Linked DNA regions of Coturnix japonica. The protein of the gene in region 1 interacts with the protein of each later gene in a pairwise test. Links are inferred from orthologs where the notes say so. Each region holds a gene or a part of one and is shown in the gene's direction. Other genes may lie near its edges.

Region 1 (4,230 bases):
TTAAGAAGCTGCATGTGTGCGAAACTAGTACAGCAGAAATGAGGGCTGCTCCGAAAGTAATGCCTCCTACTTGATTATGTTGGCCCAAAACATCAGAAGCAGATGTTGGTGGTATGGCAGAAGATGTCAAACCTTCCCACTGAAATTCTGCTCCGTTTTGTAGCCATATGACAGATGGCAGCAGAGGGGCACTGTGACACAGTGGCATCTGATGTGGAAGCGCATACAAAGGTGTGTCACTGAATTCTTCCAGGCTGAAAAAAAATGGCACCCACTGACATTCATTGATGCTGAATGTTGATGGAGACCAAGCAGTGGATGTGAGCACAGTGGGGCGGTGGGTGGTGCCTTTCAGCAGTGGTGACAGTGGCAGTGGGTCACCTCTGCTGGTGTGGATTGTTAGGAGCATGACATGCAGGCTCATGTTCATGGCTGTAGAAAATGCATAGCTAGTGGTGCTGAGCATTGAAAAAACAGTGTTTCATAGCTGAGAATTTACTCTAGTAACAAGTAGTGCCATTGTGCTCCTTCTATCTGTAGTGGTTTCCATGCAGACAAATAGGAGACACGACCTTTGCAGAAACCTACACGCTTTGGAAACTGCAACAGCTCCCAACTAATTCAGGCACAGAATCACAGAATCGTAGGGGTTGGAAGGAACCTCTAGAGATCATCGAGTCCAACCCCGCTGCCAAAGCAGGCTCCCTACACCTGAACACAACGCTCTTCTGCAAGGCTTCTAACTCAGAGCTCAGGAAAACAGAATCACAGAATGACCCGGGTTGGAAGGGACCTCATGTAGTTCCAACCCCCAAACAGCCCCAAACGCCAACAGCCCCTCAAAGCTAGGACAAAATCCGCTCTACCCGTCCCCGGACAAAGGCGCAGAGCTCGGGCAGAGGAGCTGTTAGGGCAGGCAGGGCTGCAGGGTGCAGCCGACTGAGGAGCACCCCTCCCCACACCTACAGCCGGCTCAACCCTCCCCACCGCGCTCACTGACAGCCGCCCCGCGGAGCCCCCTCCCGGCGCCATGACGTCATGGCAGTGCGCGCCTGCGCACGCCGCGCCGACCGACCCCTGTGCGTGCCTTTGCGTGACGGCGGCGGGGAGCGCGCGCGCGCCCCCGCCCTCTCTCCGTCCCTCCGTCCCTCCTTCCCTCCCTCCCTCCCCGCGCTGCCAGCGCCTATCGCGGCCGCCGCCGCCTCTTCTCCTCGCGGCTGGGAGCGGAACCGACGGCCGCCTCCCCGCCCCTCCCCCTCCTACTATTATCCTCCCGCACGGTGCGCGCTCCCGTAGCCACCCTCCCCCCCCCTCCATCTCCTCCCCGGTGCCTCGGGAGCGCGCCCGCTCGGCGAGGGAGGGATCGAGCCGGCGCTGCCGCCCGCCACCGCCGCCTATCCCCTCCATGGAGCTCGCGCCGCCCCGCTGAGCCACAGCCGCCCGCCCGCCGCTGCCGCCGGGGAGTAACCGGGGGAGGGAGGAGGGTGGGGGGAGGAAGAGGAGGAAGGTGGGGTCGCGGGGTGCGTGACACGCGCGGCGGCCCGAGGAGCTGAGAGCCCCTGCGGCCGAAGGTTGCGGCTGTTGGCGCTGAGCGGCGGGGGAGCGCGCCGCGCGGCGGGGAGCGTGTGCCCGCGGCCCCCCCCGCTTCCTTCTCCTCCTCCTCCTCCTCCTCCTCCTCCTCCCCCCGCACCCGGGGCCGCCGCCTGACGGGCGGACCATGGCCGACGACGACGTGCTGTTCGAGGACGTGTACGAGCTGTGCGAGGTGATCGGCAAGTGAGTCCCGCGGGGAGGGGGAGGGGGGGGAGAAAGAAAGAAAAAGGAGAGGGGATGGGGGAGAGCGGAGCCCCCCCCCCCCACACACACACACACCCAGCGCGGGGATGGCGTGCCCGGCACCCACCTGAGTCGCGGTGCGGGCAGCCCCGGCGCTGCCCACCGCCCTGAGGTTGGGGGGAAGGGGGGTGGGGGGAAAGGAAGGCGCCCCGGTGCTTCCTCAGCCACCATGATCCCCGCCCGGCCGGCCGCCGCGCAGCCTGGCGCTGCCCAGCCCTCCCGTTCTCCTCCCCATCCCCGGCACACCCATCGGTGGTTGCCTGCTTGAAGAAGGATCGCTGTGGATCCACCTATCGCTCGGGTGGCCGCGCCAGGTGTCGGCTCTCCCCGCGCCTTGGCGCACAATGAGCGGCGTGCTGCCGGCGGTGCCCCTGGCACCCCGTGCTCGCGCGGATCTGCCTTCGCTCCGCTCCCCGGCGGCGTGTGAGGCAGGGGGAGAACTTGGCCTCTCCTGTCTCCTTATGCAACTGTTAATGCGTGTTCGTGTCAAACCTCGGAGGTCGCCGGCGTTTTCTGGCTGCCCGTTTTGGGCCACGCTCCTGTGGGCTGCGTGGAGATGACAGCTCCGTGCGTTACCACACCAAGAAAACGCAGAGCATCCCCCAAATCAGATGGCACCGAACGGGAGCCCAACTCTCTGTATTTTCGTGACCAGCCAGTTTCTAAATCCTATTTTTGTTTTATTTCGTTGCGTTCCACACGCCTCCTATAGTTGTGCTTGGGTTGAGTGAAAGATGTAGCGGTGTTGCTGCTTCTAATTGTCTGCGTGTCTGACTGAGCAGCTGAGATTGCTGTGGGAGCCGCTGCTCTGGGTGCCTGCAGCTCTTTCTTCCTGAGGATGAATTCAATCAGAGCGGCATTCCCCGTGTTTTGATTATAAACAAAGAGTTCTTCTGCATGTATTCTCCCTCCCGCTCCCCTCCAGCGTGCTTCACAGTTTCTATCTGCTGCTGCCTGCTTTGAGAGCTCAGGCTAAAAATATTCTGGAATTAATCTTTCCTGAGGATTATACTAAAATGCTCGTCTTGGACTTAGCAGGTTACTTTGTTGGCAGCTGAAGTTTCAGCACTCTGCTCTGTCGTTTCACACGGTTATTACCACCTTGCCCTGGCCACAAACAACTTTTAAAAATAGGAAGCTTAGAGGGCCTTGCTTGCTGTCATAAGCTGAAAGGGCTTTCGCCAGTTGTTCGTGGGGAGCTTATGTAGCCGAGAAACAAAACAGTGATTATATGTGGTTTGAAGATGGTTTTTGGCATGCTCCTTTCATGAGTGGTTTTAAGCTGACCACTGCAGTTCACGCACTGCTTCCTCAGAGCTGGCTGCCATTGGAAGGAAAGTGAAGTGCTTCTGCTTGACAGGACTATGTGAGCTTATAGAGAATGGCTCATTCGCAGCCATCCAGATGTTGATGCGGCTCCACTGACTTTCGATGTTGTGATCTGAGAATATCAAAGGGATTCAAGGTTCAGAACCTGTGAATTGTGAAGCTTCTTTGGCTGATACCTGAGATTGAATTATTCTGGATGTGTTGTGATGTAACCTGATCTAACAGATAAGTGTTGGATTGTAGGAGCACGGCGCTGCCAAGAGCACTGTAACAGAACAGGGTGGATTACTGAAGCTAGCAGTGGTGGTAGGAAGGGGTTTGCGTATGGATGTTGTGTCCCTCCTCTAATAGGCACAGTTGTATTTGTACAGTTGTATGAGCAGTGTTCCTGTTTCATTGCAGTGCTACTCAGGTGACTTCTGAGCAATCGGGGATGCAGCGTCTTTAATTAGCTTTCACATTTTTGATAGCACCCCGCTCTTCTTTAGGCAACATGGGGAAAGCCTCATGTAAAATCTGCCTTGAGTTGCTACGTATGCATCTGGCTAAACATCTATCAGTGAAACACCAACTAAACGTCTGCACCTTCCCGTGATTTATTATTGATTGATTGAGTAATCTGCTTCTTGCAAATAGCACATCCGGCCCCTGACTTGTGTTTAGGTCCATGAAATATTAAAGCGTGTGATTTATCCTTCCTAAATGGGTAGTTATCGCTGTCATTTAAAGTAGTAAATGGTATTTCCAGAAAGGGTGTGGGAAAGAGATTTTGGACCGTAAAACAACTGAATATTTTGCCTGACTTTGTAAGAGAAATCTCAAAGTTCCCATACAGTCTACTTGAGAAATAAGTCCTCTATGGGTGTTCCCTTGCTGGCAGTATGTGGCCCTGTTTGTTGAAGCTTTTGAATAAACTTAAAACAGTTTCAAATGCGATAAACTGATAAGACTTATTTTGTATAAACACAATGATAATAGCTTTTTGCCGGAGTGTGGAGCAGTAACTGTAATAGTATGTGAAAGAATTGATCGGGATGACAGAGTGATGAATCGTTTCTTACGTGG
Region 2 (4,333 bases), on another chromosome or scaffold:
GGAGCAGAATTAAGGCTGAGAGCGATAAAGCACCAACTGGGGAAGGCACAGTGCAGAAAGTTGCCTATGCCATACCACCAGACTGTGAGCAAACACCTGCTTTTTGCTTCATGCATGATTTTCTTACAACAATTTCCACTCAGCGTGTGCAAAATAGCTTCTCTTGCACACCAGCCACTGGGATGAGCTGCTGAGCGACTCCCAAATGCCTGCAAGAGGTGGGAGTCTGAACCTGCCCCGTAATGGGTCGCGGTGCTGCCGGCACACCCTGGGCTGAGTGCACGAAGTTGCAGCCGTTGTGCATCCGACAGTGGGGCGGCCCTGGTTGCTTTATCCGGGAGTGAAATTGGAAGCTGGTGTCAGCAGGGAAGAGAAGTGGTGGGGAGCATCCCTGGGGTCCAAAGCGCTAAGGGGAAAATAGTAAAAAAAATTAACCAAGTGTGTTCCCCTCCGGAGCAAAAATAATAGTCACACGGACGCAAGTGGGGCTTTTAACAGCTTTTCAGTTCGCCCAGGGAGGGCAGCGGGAGCACCGCGGCCTTCCGCAGGTTCCCCCGCCTCTCCGCCCCGGGGGCCCAGGCGGCTCCGCGCTGCGGCCGCGGCCCGTCGGGAGGAAGCTGTGCGCTCCGCGAGGTGCCGAACCGCGCCGGCAACGCGCTACCGAAGCTCTCCATCCCATCTCAGAGCCGTGTGCGGGACCGAGTCACACCGGGGGGTGGGGGGAAAACAGCAGCGAGAGGCGCGAGCCCCGGAACAAGAGCGGATGGCCGCGTCGTTTGGCTGATAATCCGCGGCGTTACAGCGCCCCGATATTTATTTCCTACGGAACCCGGGAACGCGCGGCGGGCGCCTCGGGGCGGACGGGCTGCACGGTTCTCGCTATTCCTCAACTTGGGGCCGAGCCCCGGGGCCCGGCGGCCGTCCCCGCAGGCGGGGCGGGGGCACGCGGTGTTGGGGCAGCGCGGGGCAGCGTTCCAGCCGCGGTCGAAAAAAGAACATAAATGCGGGAAAGGTCACAGAATAACGAGCTCTAGCAGCAAACACGCTCTTCCCTTCCCCCCTTCGCCTTCCTTCTATCTCACAATAAAATCATCTCCTTCAATTTGCCATGATCGTCGCGACCGGGAGCCAGGTGATTATCCTAATTAATGTCTATCTAATTAAATTACTGACAGCGGTTAACCAATGGCAGGAGCCGTTTCATCCTCTCCACAAGCAGCGAGATCAAAAGTGAGTCTTTCCTGATTGCTGCATAGTGTCAATTGGCCAATCTCTTCTCCCAGGGAAGGAAGGAAAAAAAAAAAAAAAAAAAAAAAAAAAAAAAGTAAATCAAACGTTTGGGAAGCATTTGGTGGATGAAGTGCTTTCTGCCTACCGAGGGTCCCAGGATGTCTCGCTTCTGGTAGCGAGCAGCCCTCAGCTCCAGGGACGGAAGGGTTATTGCTGCGGTGCAGAGCGATGCAGCTGGAGCATTGTCTTTCTCCCTCTATCATGCTCTCCAAGAAATTTCTCAATGTGAGCAGCAGTTACCCACACGCAGGCGGATCCGAGCTTGCCTTGCATGATCATCCCATTATCTCGACCACTGACAACCTGGAGAGAAGTTCACCTTTGAAAAAAATTACCAGGGGGATGACGAATCAGTCAGATACAGACAATTTTCCCGACTCCAAGGACACACCAGGGGACGTCCAGAGAAATAAACTCTCTCCCGTCTTGGACGGGGTCTCCGAGCTTCGTCACAGTTTCGATGGATCTGCCGCAGATCGCTATCTGCTCTCTCAGTCCAGCCAGCCCCAGTCTGCTGCCTCCGCGCCCAGTGCCATGTTCCCTTACCCCGGCCAGCACGGACCCGCTCACCCGGCCTTCTCCATCGCCAGCCCCAGCCGCTACATGGCTCACCACCCCGTCATCACCAACGGCGCCTATAACAGCCTCCTGTCCAACTCCTCGCCGCAGGGCTACCCGGCGCCGGGCTACCCCTACCCCCAGCAGTACGGCCATTCCTACCAGGGCGCCCCGTTCTACCAATTCTCCTCCGCCCAACCGGGGCTGGTGCCGGGCAAGGCTCAGGTCTACCTGTGCAACAGGCCGCTCTGGCTGAAATTCCACCGGCACCAGACGGAGATGATCATCACCAAGCAGGGCAGGTAAGCCGCCGCAGCCGCCGCGCGGAGCCGCCGCGGGAGCCGCCCGCCGCCACCACCCCGGGGGAGCCACCGGGACCCGGGCAGCCCCGCGCCCGTCCCTACGCGCAGCGCTGCGCCCCGGGCACGGACCCGAGCCGGGATTTTATTCCCCTCTCGCCGCCGGGAGCTGCGAGGATGGCACAGCGGGACGGCTCCTCCGCGGGCGCGAGTCGCCGCTTGCTTTCTTTTTGCCTTTATTTTTTTTTTAAAATTTTTATTTTTGCCTTTTTTTTCATTTTTATTTTTATTTTTTTTTTTATAGGCGCATGTTCCCTTTCCTAAGTTTTAATATTTCTGGTCTCGACCCCACGGCTCACTACAATATTTTTGTGGATGTAATTTTGGCGGATCCCAACCACTGGAGGTTTCAGGGAGGCAAATGGGTTCCTTGCGGCAAGGCGGACACCAATGTACAAGGCAAGTTTCTCCAATTAACACTTTTCTCGACACATATGTAGGTGAGAACGATTAATTAAAGCCTTTGTGTGCCGACTAGCGCGTGGAAGGGTCGGCGGCGCTTTGAGAAAAGAGAGGGTGGAGGAGAAAGCGGAGGGCGATGGGGGAACGCGGTGCGAGCGGTGAAAGGGGGAATCGGCGCTGCCCTCGCGGGGGCTCCGCGCTGTGCGGGCCCGGTACGAGCCGCGATGCCGCTCTGTCGTTCTGCCCAGGGAACCGCGTGTACATGCACCCCGACTCCCCCAACACGGGAGCGCACTGGATGCGCCAGGAGATCTCCTTCGGGAAGCTCAAACTTACCAACAATAAAGGAGCATCGAACAACAACGGGCAGGTCAGTGGGGGAACGGCTCCGCTTATTTTTGTTGTATTGGGCGGAACCCCGCACTCCCTGATCGGACGAGTATAGACGTGTTTTAGTCGTGATTTTACGCTACCGTGGCCGGCTGCCGGGGCAGAGGCGCTCCGGGCGGGCGGCGGTGGGTCCTTCCCGGCCCCGTCCTCCCCGTTCTGATCCCCGCTTCTCCCCGCTCCCGTCCCTGTGCCCGACAGATGGTGGTCCTGCAGTCCCTGCACAAGTACCAGCCCCGCCTGCACGTGGTGGAGGTGAACGAGGACGGCACGGAGGACACCAACCAGCCGGGCAGGGTGCAGACCTTCACCTTCCCCGAGACGCAGTTCATCGCGGTCACCGCCTACCAGAACACCGATGTAAGGCGCTCCCCGCAGGGCGCGGCAGCTTCTCCCCCTCTCCTCGCCCTCCGCTTTGCCTTCTCCCGGGGCCGAGAGCGGCGTTTCCCGGTGCCCCGAGGGGCTCCTTTAGCGCGGCCGCGATGTGCGCTCCGCGGCGCCGTCCCCGGTCTCGGTGCCCCCCGCTCCCTGCCCTGACCGCTCGGCCCCGGGCTCCGTGCGCTCAACGCGGCTGGAGCTCGCGGCTCTGCCCGCACCCGGTTGTATGATGGGACGCAGATCGAGTAACGATATTTCTGACAATACGGTGTTAAGTGGGATATCGAGCGTGATTTTTAGAATCAAGTAAATCTCAGCGTTCCCTTTGCCATGTCTGCGGGCACGCCACTCCGCCGCGTTATCTCCACGCCCTAGCGGCGATCCGGCGGACCTTCCCGCTCTCACCCCTCGCTTTTCTCCCCCTTCCCCAGATCACGCAGCTGAAAATCGACCACAACCCCTTCGCCAAAGGCTTCCGGGATAACTACGACACGTAAGTGGCCGCGCCGCGCCTCTGAGCGGCCTCGGGGGCAGCGGGCGGGGGCGAGGGGGCGGCCCGCGGCTCCCGGTGCGCGCAGCGGGGAGGGCGCGGTTGTGGCGGCCGCGTTCTCCTCGTGCAGCTGAGAACCAGGAGCGTCCTCTCGGTTCGACACTCGTGGGGCTTCGCCGTCCCCGCTGTTAGTGGGAGAGTCCACTCTCCCCTCGATGCCCCGGGACCACCGTGCGGGGCCTTCCGAGAGGCCCGGTGGCCTTCGACCGGGAGGGCCTTCCCCTTTTTTGTAGGGAAAAACTTGACGGGGCGTCGCTGCAAAGGAGCCGGGGGGAGGGGGAAGCTCGATGTTGTCTCGCACGTTGGATTTGTTTAAGGGCCAAGTTTTATTTTGGATAAGAAATTCCAGGAGGCGTGGAGGGTTAATTAAAGCACAGTTTTAGCCTGAATTAAATACAGATAGTAGTTA

Evidence for each region.
Region 2: the proteins of CASK (region 1) and TBR1 interact in a two-hybrid assay, tested with the Homo sapiens proteins (2 studies listed by BioGRID and IntAct). The link is inferred for Coturnix japonica from reciprocal best matches to the Homo sapiens genes CASK and TBR1.

The regions. Positions count from the first base shown.
Region 1 is NC_029516.1:100,754,568-100,758,797, forward strand, and holds the start of CASK (peripheral plasma membrane protein CASK), read left to right. Parts: upstream 1-1,183; 5' UTR 1,184-1,717; coding exon 1,718-1,776; intron 1,777-1,903; exon of another isoform or gene 1,904-2,052; intron 2,053-4,230. UniProt on the Homo sapiens protein: Multidomain scaffolding Mg(2+)-independent protein kinase that catalyzes the phosphotransfer from ATP to proteins such as NRXN1, and plays a role in synaptic transmembrane protein anchoring and ion channel trafficking.
Region 2 is NC_029522.1:25,315,476-25,319,808, forward strand, and holds the start of TBR1 (T-box brain protein 1), read left to right. Parts: upstream 1-1,316; 5' UTR 1,317-1,458; coding exon 1,459-2,150; intron 2,151-2,451; coding exon 2,452-2,606; intron 2,607-2,857; coding exon 2,858-2,979; intron 2,980-3,197; coding exon 3,198-3,356; intron 3,357-3,805; coding exon 3,806-3,867; intron 3,868-4,333. UniProt on the Homo sapiens protein: Transcriptional repressor involved in multiple aspects of cortical development, including neuronal migration, laminar and areal identity, and axonal projection.